Linked DNA regions of Cricetulus griseus. The protein of the gene in region 1 interacts with the protein of each later gene in a biochemical or structural test. Links are inferred from orthologs where the notes say so. Each region holds a gene or a part of one and is shown on either strand. Other genes may lie near its edges.

Region 1 (5,334 bases):
AATAAATCATTTAAAAAAAAACAACTTAAACCAGGCATAGTGGTATGTCCTTTAATCCTAGCACTTGGGAGGCAGAGGCAGGGGGATATCTGAGTTCAAAGCCAGTCTTGTCTATGGAGCGAGTTCCAAGATAGTTTCTTTGTGTACAAAGAAACCCGGTTTCCAAAAACAAACAAATACTTAAAAAGAGGACCCACTGCTCTGCCCATATAGGTGGCAATGGTAAGACAAATGGGCAGCTTTGGAGTCATATAGTAAGGCCAACCGATGAGCTCTTTTTTGTTGTTGTTCTGTAAGACAAGGTTTCTTTGTGTAAAAACCCTGGCTGATCTGGAACTTCATTTGTAGACCAAGCTGGTCTCAAACTCACAGAGATCCACCTGCCTCTGCCTCCCAAGTGTTGGGATTATAAAGGCATGCGCCACCACTGCCAGCTAACTCTTTACTGCTGAGCGGTCTCTTGGGCACCACCACTCAGATCCTACCCTTTCTCTCTGGGCACAGACAAGAGATGCTTTTTATTTACTTACTTGTCTTTATGTAGCTATTTATTTCTTTTTGAGACAGGCCCTGAGTTTGAACCTTGGAAGCACAACAGTCCCTGTACTCCACGAGGAGCTAATCATCCTTGTCTTGTTCTCAAGTGTCAGCGACAGAAGACTGGGGGACTTCACAGTGACACTTGTAAAAACATCCACAGGACTCTCATCTTCCTTTATAACATTACTTACCAAAAATGTCTATTATTATCCATGCAAGTGCTATTCAAATCTATCAGCAGTTCATTTTTTAAAATATTTTTGTGTATGAGTGCTCTCTCTATCTGCATGTACACCTGCTTGTCAGCAGAAAGCACCAGATCTCATTATAGATGGTGTGAGCCACCATGTGGTTGCTGGGAACTGAACTCAGAACCTCTGGAAGAGTAGTCAGTGCTCTTAACCACTGAGACATCACTCTCCGGCCCCATACTTCATCTGTTTAAAATATTCGGAAACAGAATCTCCCTATGTCAGCCCAGTTTGCTTCAGTTTCAAAATTCTCCTGCCTCAGCCTCCTGAGTGCCAGGATTAAAAGGTGGATGCTGCTACACTGAACAAGTTTCTGACATAGTGACAATTTAATCTTTTCATTTTTTCTTTTTAATGAACTAGCTGTGAACTCCTAGGCTCAAGAGGATATCCTGCCTCGGTCTCCTGAGTAAGGTAGACAATAGGTACACTCCACCACACAGCTAACTTCATTATGTTCATAGAAACAGTCTTACCTTGTAGTCAGAGACATCAGGAGAGTAGTCCGACGTGAGTTCCAAAAGCTAAAAAAGAAGACAAAGCCTTAGAGTCCACAACTCTCCCAGACCCTCACTCTCTTGGGCCTGCTCCCTCCTACCCCAGGAATGGGTGCCATGCAGAGGCACACACCCCCACCCACCTGATGCCCCACCATGACTTCTGACAACGGCAGACAGTTTTTGTAGACATTGCTTAGTAAGATTCACTAAGTAAGTTTCATGTGTTTGTGGGGGGATGGGAATCTTGCCTTTGTTATAGTTGGTGCTGTTTTAACATATACCTTAAATGCAATCTTTTCACCGACTTGAGGGGCAGCTGCCAACAGTGGCAATAGACTATAGTCCTTCTTGTGTGTCTCTACAGGATTCTGGAAAACAGTCACATGACTCGGTTAACTGGTGAAAAAAGAGGAACCCGTGGCATGCCTCGGAGCTGAGATACACTCCGTGGGGAAAGGGAAGCCAACTCAAACAACGAATGGTTACCTGGATCACAGTGGACGAGTTTGTTAGGATGTCATTTAACTGTTTCTGCTTCTGACTCTCAGAGCTTCTATTTAAGATACAGGAGATAGCAGGCCCTCGGCCTCGACCTCGGCCTCGTATACCCCGGCCCCTCAGCCCCTTCCCCAACAAGAAGTCCTCTCCTCGACCCCATCCTCTTCCCAAACTGGTAGGGACAGGCACACTTGGAGCAGGACCAAGAGCTTGCCTGCCTCTGCTGGAGTCAGAAGGCTTCCAGCCCATAACACCCGAAGTCTGCAACGTCAGCCCTGGACACCCTTGCCCTGCAAAGAGACCGGCTGTCTTTAAGAAGTCTGAGGCGCCTTCAGAGATGTTCTTGGACACCAAGAACTGGTCTTCCGACTCGGAACTGGAGTCTGAACTGGATGACGAGGTTCTGATGGCCTTGCCCTTGCCCTTGCCGGAGCTGAAGGGAAAGGCGGGCTTTGAGGCCTGTTTGTTGACAGCTGCCGTTTTTGCAGCAGGTCCATCGTTCAACAGCTCAGCTGAGAGTTTCTCTGAAAAGGTGATCCCCGACACTGTGATATTGCAGAGGCTATCACTGACCGACTCTGGACAAGAATCAGACTCTGACAGGTAGCCTGAGCCCCCTTTTGGCCCTGCACTACTTTTCCTCAGGGCTTTAGTGAGGCTGCTTCTGGGGGAGCCCTTGGGCAAGCAGTTCTGTGGGCTCCACTCCTTGGGCATCTGCGTTTTGGGAGACTTGGGTGCCTTGGTCTGCTTCTTATGTTCACATTTCTCCTTTTTCTTTGGTGACTTCTTTCTGGCCTCTTCCTCCTCCTCTGCTGGGCTGTCTGTCACTTTGCTTTTTTTCTTGCTTTTCGTCCTCCCCACCCCCACCTCATCTGGAACAGGTTTTGTTTCCAGGTCTAAGGCCTTCTCTTTATAGCTGCTGTCCTCTAGCTTTCTCCAGTGCTTCTTGGAGCACTTGTAACCCAGTTCCATTTCTTCATTGTCCACCAACTTAAAAGCCCGCTTCTTTGCTTTTCTGAGTAGAAAGTTAGAGTCACCGCCATTGCTTACTATGAAATTCTCAGGGAGTTCTCCATCTTCTAACTTAACCCTGTCAAGAGAAGACAGCAAGTAGTTACATACAGCCAAGACTGCAGATTGTGGAGTTTAAGGATGAAAGACGACACAAAATGACCACAACTCTTTCAACGGCTAGTTTTGTTTCGTCTTTGTCGTTTTGAGACAGGGTCTCACAACTTCACCTTAGATGGCCTGGAACTTGCTATGGAGAACAGGCTGGTCTCCAACTCACAGAGCTCCACTGTCTCTTCTTCCTGAGTGCTGGGAGTAAAGGTGGTATTATCATGCCTGGCTCATTGTGGCTAGTTTTAGTAACTTAATAGCTACTGTGTCCCACACATTTTTTTTTTCCTAACTTAAACATCACTGACAAACTAGGTAATCTTTCATTTCAGAGGTCGCAAAATCTACAACTCAAACAGGTACCTGCCCAAGATTCACAGCTGGTAAGAAATAGGAGGATATTCCAACCTTGGCTTGCCTATCTTCAAAACTCAATCAGTTTTTTTTTTTAACAATATAACATTGATTTATTGATAATTTCATACACATATACAATTTATTTCAACCATATTCACACACAAACACTAGCTTCCAACTTCTCTCAGACACCCCAGCTTCATGCCTCCTTTTTCTTAATCCACAATCTCTGTACTATATGTGTGTGTTAGCCATTCTAAAGGATGAACCCATTATCCATCCAGTTTTGCTCTAGAATGAGTAAAAACATAAACTGAACCTGAGTGTCTACTAACAGTTAAGTAAATAGGGAAAATGTGGTGCACATATGGATAATGGAATATTACTCAGCTGTAAAGCAGGTATATCATTTGTAGCAATATGGAGCTGGAGGGCAGGTTGCTAAATTAAATCAGAAAGACAAATACCACACATGTTCATTTATATGAAGACTTTAAAATAAAAGATCTCAAAGAAGCAGAAAATAGAATAAAAACCTAAGGAGGTTGTAGGGGAAGGTAAGACAAACATGTACACTGATACAAAGACTAAATTCTAATGTTCCTCCATAGTATAGGACAACAATGGTGGACAACAATTATCGACAAAGAGCTACAAAAATTTTCTTTTTTCTTTCTTTTTTTTCTCTTTCTCATTCTTTCTTTCTTTTTTGACACCACTGGTAGCTTTGGGTGGCTTTAACTTGGTATGTAGACCAGGCTGGTCTTGAACTCAGAGATTTACCTCTCTCTGCTACCTGAGTGCTGGGATTAAAGACGTATCTAGAGAGGACTTTTAATGTCCTCAACATAAAAGAGAAAAAAATGAAGAAACAGATATGATAATCAATTCTGTTCTGATCATTACATATTATATATACATATCCTGAAATGAGTCATTGCACTCTACAAATATATAAGATAACTATATGGTAATAAAACATTTAAAGCTGGGTGATGGTGGCACACACCTTTAATCCCAGCACTTAGAAGGCAGAGGCAGGAGGATCTCTGTGAGTTTGAGACCAGTCTGGTCTACAAGAGCTGGTTCCAGGTCAGCCTCCAAAGCCATAGAGAAACCCTGTTTCGAAGAAAGAATTATTTAATTATTATTAAAATAATAAAAGTGTTTTCCTATTTCTGCTTAGATTCTGAATAGTTACAGTTACCTATATGATCCATGACAGTTTATAAAGGTTAATTTTATGTCCACCTGGCAAGGCTATGGGGTGCTCAGCTCAAACATTGTGTCTATGACTTGTCTGAAAGAGTTTCTGGATGAGATTCCCACTGAAATCTCAAGAGTGAATAAAGGGCTGCTTGTTTCAAGACCCCTCTCTGCTGCAAGTACCTATGACTTTCCCTTTCTCCTTTCTTTCTTTTCTTTCTTTCTTTCCTTCCTTCCTTCCTTTCTTTTGGTTATAGTTTTCGAGACAGGATTTCGCTGTATAGCCCTGGCTGTTCTGGAACTCACTCTGTAGACCAGGCTGGTCTCCAACTCAGAGATCCACTTGTCTCTGCCTCCCAAGTGCTGGGATGAAAGGCGAGCGACACCACCACTTGGTGATTCTATTTCTCTCTCAGCTCTAAAGAGGTGTTTGTGTGTGTGTTTGTGTGTGTGTGTGTGTGTGTGTTTTCAAGTACTCCAGGACCAGAAGAGACTGTTGGAAATCCAACAGCTGGACATACAGGTGGTTGTGAATCACTGCACATGGCTGCTGGGAACCAAACTCAAGTCTACAGAGCAGCCAAAGCTCTGAACTTGCCAGTCCCTCTACTTCTCAGTATATCTCACTTGCCATTCCTCACTGTCTCACTCATCATTCTCTGTACTGGTGAGCTGGTGAACTTAGCTCTGACTCAATAAACTGCTAATATGCTCATTTTGGTAGTACCCCTACTAAAACTATAGTGACACAGAGAAGACTCACATGGTCCCTGTACAAGGATGACTGACAAATTTGTGAAGCATTCCATACTTTTTATATCACCCCCTCCAAGACTCAGGAAACATCAAAGGGAGGGGGG
Region 2 (6,050 bases), on another chromosome or scaffold:
CAGAGTGAGTCCTACTGTTGACTTCTTCATTCCTCTCTCTATACAGGGTTACCAGGACTACAGAGGCTCTCAGAACTGAAAAAGGGGCCTGGCTCTTGCAAGCCAGTGCAGATTCTACCCACCAAGTTGTAGTTAGTCTTCCTTGCTGAAAATTGTTGTTCATACCTCTTAACCTTTACAGGAGTCACCTGCTTGATCCTCGATGGCCCCTGGATCAGGAGTCCTATGACTTAGCCATGACTCTGTTCTGTTCATGTCTCTATCGCCGTGCTGGAAGGATTTCTTTATAGGAATTGCCTCTATGTTCTGAGGTTGTGGGTAAAGTGGCTGAGAGAAGACCATGCAAAAGCAGATCCTGGGAACACGAATCCCTTAAATCAAAACATACAGAAAAGCATAGTTCCTGCCCAATAGAGAGTAGGGCTTCCTGAATATTAATTACCTGAGCATCTTTCCTGGATACCCTAACTCCTGGTTCACAGTAAATGTTTAAAAATATTTCTTAGGGTTGTAGAGGTTGGCTCTTTGTTTTGTTTTGATTTTTTGAGATAGGGTCTCACTATGTGGCTCTGGCTGTCTTGGAATTCACTAGGTAGACCTCTCTGGCCTCAAACTCACAGAGATTCATCTCCCTTCTGTCTCAGGAGTGCTGGGATGAAAGGTGTTTGCTACCAGGCTCGGCTGCAGAGGTATTTCGGGATATATGCTGGATTGTACTCTCAAGTCTTTCCTCAGCTCAACTTTTTAGTTTCAAAAGCTTAGCAGGTTCTGACTGATCACTGGTCTGTTCCTTCCGGCCCTTCACACCAACCTATCAACTCATAGAATGTGCTGAAGGTCTCCTATGTCCCAGGAGTCACCTCCTAAGTAGTGGTATTTCAGACATGCTGTCACCATGACGGCAGCTTGGACTGGTCTCCTGCCACACTCTTCACTGGTAGGACTTCTCAGCACGTGTGGGTGGTGTTGGAGGTGTTGGCAACAGCCTTGGAACATAGCCGCAGCAAAGCAGTGCTCAACCGGGAGCCATCTGACTGAGAGTGCCAGAGCCATGAGCTCTGGAATGCGTTCTATTCCCACCTCAGAACGGATCATGAACTGCTGCTGACTTAACTGCTTTAAGGTCAGCCAATTGTCAAGCCTTTTTTTCTGCACGTCTGTGGTGAGGTTAGGGGAACACCATCACACTGTAACAAGTAAATCACATTCCAAGTTCGGATTCATGTACTCGTTTGTACGGGCAGAATGTCTTTCGAACAAAGCATTCTGACCACAGAGCCTTGCTGTGGGACTTCGCACTCATGAGATGTGTGAATCCCGAGACCTCTTTGCTGACAAATAGTCATCAAGAGCTCACCTTGGGCCTGCATTTCCATCAGTGTGTATACAGAAAGCAGATGCCATGGGAGGATTTGTGGAGGACGGTTTACATTCGATGAGGCCGTTGAGAAAGGTGTCGGGTTGGAGTCACACAGGATGGAGTAGTAGCTTGAGCCTCAGAGGCAGCCCTGACAAGTCACAGAGGTCTGCTTTCATTGCAAACTTGTGGGAGGCCCAGAGAGCAGTGACCTTCAGCTAAGGGATTTCTCTGCCTTTGTGTGTCCTTGTTGGGAAGAAATCAGAAGAAACGTCACCTTCTGTAGCCAACTTTTTTTTTTTCCCCTTTCAGTTCTCAGGGTACTCCATGGATTGAACTCAGCAGAAGCCTGGGAGCAGTGGGGTGTGCAATGCAATTCTGGGTCAGCTTCCTCCGGCAGAAGGCAAGACAGGGAAGAAGCTGGGGTAGGTGGAGGTACCTGGGGCAGTGAGTTCAAGACACGGACTGCACACTGGGCAGCGACTCAGATTGTGTGTGTGTGTGTGTGTGGGGGGGTGCTACAGCTCATACAGCTTTTTCTTTTTTTTTTCTTTTGGATCCACTTTAAGAAAACGACACAGGCCAGGTGTGCTGGCCTATACTTTTAACTCACTACTTCGGAGACTGAGACAGGAGGATCTCCGTGAGTTCGGGGCCAGACTGGTCTACAGAGTGAGTTCCAAGATAGCTAGTTACATACTGAGATCCTGTCTCAAAGAAAAAGAAAACAAACAACGGCCCCTCCCCCCCGACTCCCCAGTCTTAAATTGGTAAAAGAACAGCACTAACAACAACACCCAAACCCAAAGCCTTTTCTAGGGCTTCATAAGATTCAGTTCCAAATTGAGGCTTGAAACCCATCCTTGCTTCTCACTCCTAGGACGATGGAGACAGGTGAAGCAGAGCAGACTGACACCGAGAAGGGCTCCGAAATTTGAAATAAGTCTCTCAGTCTACACGTTTAATAAATCAAGCTTCACTGAGCTCTGGTAATATTTTTTCGGCTGTGAGAGCCACAGTAGGCGGTTAAGACGGCCATCGGCCTGTAAACCACACTTCCCAGAAGCTCTCGGGCTCACAGGACTCCGGACGGTCTCTGTGGCTCAAAGACTACAATTCCCAGCATGGAGCGAGCGTAAGGACCACAACTCCCGGCGTGCCCGCAGAGGTAGCCGGGAAGCGCGCCTCTCCTCTCGTCCCGCCTCTCCCGCTGCTCGCAGCCAATGGGAAGGCTCAGTACTGCACGGTGTGGCGGGGACAGCGCTGTGGACAAGTTGCGAGTCGAGGAAAGCGGCGGGAAGTTCGTACTACGCTGTGGACGGCGGGCTGACAACTCGGGGTAGGGAACTGGAGGTGGTGGCGGCGGCGGCGGCGGCGGGACTGTGGCTACGGCGTCGCTTCAGAGCGGCCCTGCTCGTCCGGGCTTCCGGCGGCGCCGCGGCCGCGTCGGGCCTGCCCGGGAACCTTGGCTTCTTACTTAGCCGGCTCGCGGAGCTGCCGCCGGGAGCCCGGTGCTAGAAGGACGCCCGAAACGCGGCGCGAGCCAGGGGTGAGCCGGGCCGAGCCCCTGTGTTCCTCAGCGGCGTGCGGAGAGGCCTCGGGGCGCACGCCGCCGGCCGCCTGCTTCTCGCTTCCTTCCCGGTTCTTGTGCTCCGCTGGTGCCCTATTTTCCCGTGCAGCGTCAAAGTTTGTTCTAGACGGTTTCCAGGCCAGACAGCCTGAGGTGTAAAACCGCACCAGAGTCTCTGGAGAGGTGGGGAGGGGAGAGCGACGACACGCTAGAGCCCCGATGAGGTTCCCCGTTTCTTTCTGTTGTCTCATCTCTGAAGCCAACCATGCTTTGTGTATGTGTGGGCTCTTCTTTTCCCTCCCCCACCGCTCTTGATACAATTTGGAAAGACGATTGATTGACAAGGAGGTGGCTAAACTTAGGGGATCGTTGAAGAGCTTCATTAATTAGTTCTTTCTCGTTTTTAAAACTGGAATTGCCCATCTGTTGAGTCTGGAATTCAAAACAGTAAAAAAAAAAATGTAGAGCAGAATTTATTTTTAAGAAGAGTTCAGGAAGCCGGGTGTTGGTGGCGCACGCCTTTCATCCCAGCGCTTGGGAGGCAGAGGCAGGAGGATCTCTGAGTTCGAGGCCAGCCTGGTCTCTAGAGTGAGTTCCAGGACAGGTTCCAAAGCAATACATAGAAATACTGTCTTAAAACAACAACAACAACAACAACAACAACAAACCAAGAGTTCAGGAGAAAGGCATCTCAGTCTTTTGTTTTGTTTTGTTTTTTTCCGGAGACAGGGTTTCTCTGTGTAGCTTTGGAGCCTATCCTGGCACTGGCTCTGGAGACCAGGCTGGTCTCGAACTCACAGAGATCCGCCTGCCTCTGCCTCCCGAGTGCTGGGATTAAAGGCGTGCGCCACCAACGCCCGGCGGCATCTCAGTTTTTTGTGACGTGCTGATCATAATGTTTGAGGAGATTTAATTTAGAATTATGACGGGAATTAAATTTCTGGTCAGTTAAGATAATGCTCATCTGCCTGTAGGAAGGAATGTAAGTTGACATCACTTAATAATGGCTTTCCCTGTTGTGCCTTCACAGATGGCAGCCGCTGCAACTCAGCTTTGCCCATGGTGTCTGTGCTAACACAGGAACATGGGTTGAGTTGGATAACGAATGTGTGTTAGGCATTAGTGATTCCGTACAGCGCTAGTATCCAGTACAGACATGACTTTGATAACTAATGGCTGCTGCTTATGCTTGGCATTGCAGAAACCATGAGAGTCTATTTGTTAAACAAATGAGATGATGGAGTCGATGTCTTAAGCAGGGAGCCTGGCATCTAATAAGTTATCGAGTGCCCAGGGAATGGTTATATGGAAAGCTTATGCTGAGTCTTAGTCAAGTATGCCTGTGTATGTTTTAAAAATAACAGCAGTGCATTTAAAATGTTGACAAGCCCTAAAATTAAATTTCTTACAGGAAATAGGCCAGCTTTTCTTAACTTTGAGAACTTAATGTGAAATAATAATAAAGTTGAATGTCCCAGATGTCTAGAAAAGACAAAGATTTAAATTTTGACTCCCTCTGCCTAAAAGACAGCTCTAATAAATAGACCTGTTAGGACTAGGATTTGATTTGAAAAATAAAACCTTAAAAGTATTTTTGATTTGAAAAATAAACAGATTTGGAAGTGGAATTTACCTGTCGTCAAACACAGAAGGGTGACTCCTGAGTTTATGCAAGTGAGCAAGGCTCTTGTCTCCAAGCATCAGGCTGTGAGTTCTGCCTTGTGAGAGTGAAGTGAGGCTGTGGGGGAAGTTGGTCTGGACAGGTCCTCAATGGATTGGTAACTAGATGGGCTTAGATTGTGTGTTTTGAATGCTTGTCAAGATTCTGTTTGAGTGTGAGAGGACACAGGCCCTGGAGACCACATGGCTACTGCTGAGCACAAACCTATTCTGTCATACAGTTTTGTCAAAGCAATAGGATGTGAGATGAGTTTAGAAGGCTGGTGTCTTCAGCGACCAAGCCTTTCCCTCAGTGGTGAAACTTTCAGCCCATATTTCTCTGTGCTTGCAGTTTTCATTGTAAAGCCACAAGGATGACCTCTGAGAACGGTAGCCAAGCCTGAAATCTTTGTGCTCAAACTCAAGTACATCATTCTTTTGGGTGGTGTATATGTAGTGCTTGGTTTTTATTAGCTTAGTTTTAGTTTTTTGAGAAGGATCTTACTGTGTAGTCTAGGCTGCGCAAGAACTCACAGTGTATTCCAGGTTGGCTGGAGCTCACAGCAACCCTCCTAGGTGTGTGTGTGTGTGTGTGTGTGTGTGTGTGTGTGTGTGTGTGTGTGTGTGTAGGGGTAGTATTCATGCCTCACCTAGTTAGGCAGTGCTTTAAAAGAAGCTCTGCAGAGCCTAGGGAAGTAAGAGGTATGTCCTGACCCCAGAGTAGGCATTGTATTTATCAACAAGTACTGATGACAAGGACATTTTACTGCCATTCTTTAATAAACTTAAGAATTTCTTCAAGTGCAACATGTTTGTTAACGGGAAAACTGATGCCAATCATATTTAGGCTTCAGGTAAGGTAGTTTTGTTGTATGTTTGTATATCTCAGATTGTCAGGGACTGTGTGGCTACCTCAGTATGCTTATACAGATGGACTGTGTGGCAGAGTCAGATTGATCTCTGTGGGTTTGAGCCAACCTGGTCTGCATAGTTCCACACCAGTTAGAGCTACAAAGGTATACTTATACAAGCTGACTGCAGACATCCCAGAGTATGCGACTATGAATTAACTGCAGACATCACAGTACACTTACACAGATTGACTACCACTGGTGTCACTAGGTGACATCATTTTATGAGACTCCCCTGCACTCAGTCATTGATTGACAGGCTGTTAGGTGGCTGGTGACTGCATTTTGATGAGTCTGCATCAACGTCTGTCTTACTAAGGGTGTCTGGCCCAAAGGATGGGAACCTGTTGTGCTCTAGGATTTAAAAATTAAGATGGATGTATATTCAGTGTAGTACTAAACATGCATATGAAAACCGGTATATCAGTACGCCAGTGCGTTAAATAGGAAGAGACACTAAATGGAAGTCATAATTAAATGGCAGAGTAATTAGTTTGAAATTTTCGAATGCTCTGCCATGTACTTTTAAAGCAGCTATCACACTGACACTGGA

Evidence for each region.
Region 2: of the proteins of Coil (region 1) and Vrk1, one has a biochemical effect on the other in vitro, tested with the Homo sapiens proteins (2 studies listed by BioGRID and IntAct, with this or other methods). The link is inferred for Cricetulus griseus from reciprocal best matches to the Homo sapiens genes COIL and VRK1.

What each region holds. Positions count from the first base shown.
Region 1 is NC_048600.1:102,121,122-102,126,455, reverse strand, and holds part of Coil (coilin), read right to left. Parts: intron 5,290-5,334; exon of another isoform or gene 5,183-5,289; intron 2,880-5,182; coding exon 1,778-2,879; intron 1,660-1,777; coding exon 1,573-1,659; intron 1,316-1,572; coding exon 1,268-1,315; intron 1-1,267. UniProt on the Homo sapiens protein: Component of nuclear coiled bodies, also known as Cajal bodies or CBs, which are involved in the modification and assembly of nucleoplasmic snRNPs.
Region 2 is NC_048598.1:188,704,083-188,710,132, reverse strand, and holds the start of Vrk1 (serine/threonine-protein kinase VRK1), read left to right. Parts: upstream 1-2,553; 5' UTR 2,554-2,696; intron 2,697-2,747; exon of another isoform or gene 2,748-2,906; intron 2,907-6,050. UniProt on the Homo sapiens protein: Serine/threonine kinase involved in the regulation of key cellular processes including the cell cycle, nuclear condensation, transcription regulation, and DNA damage response.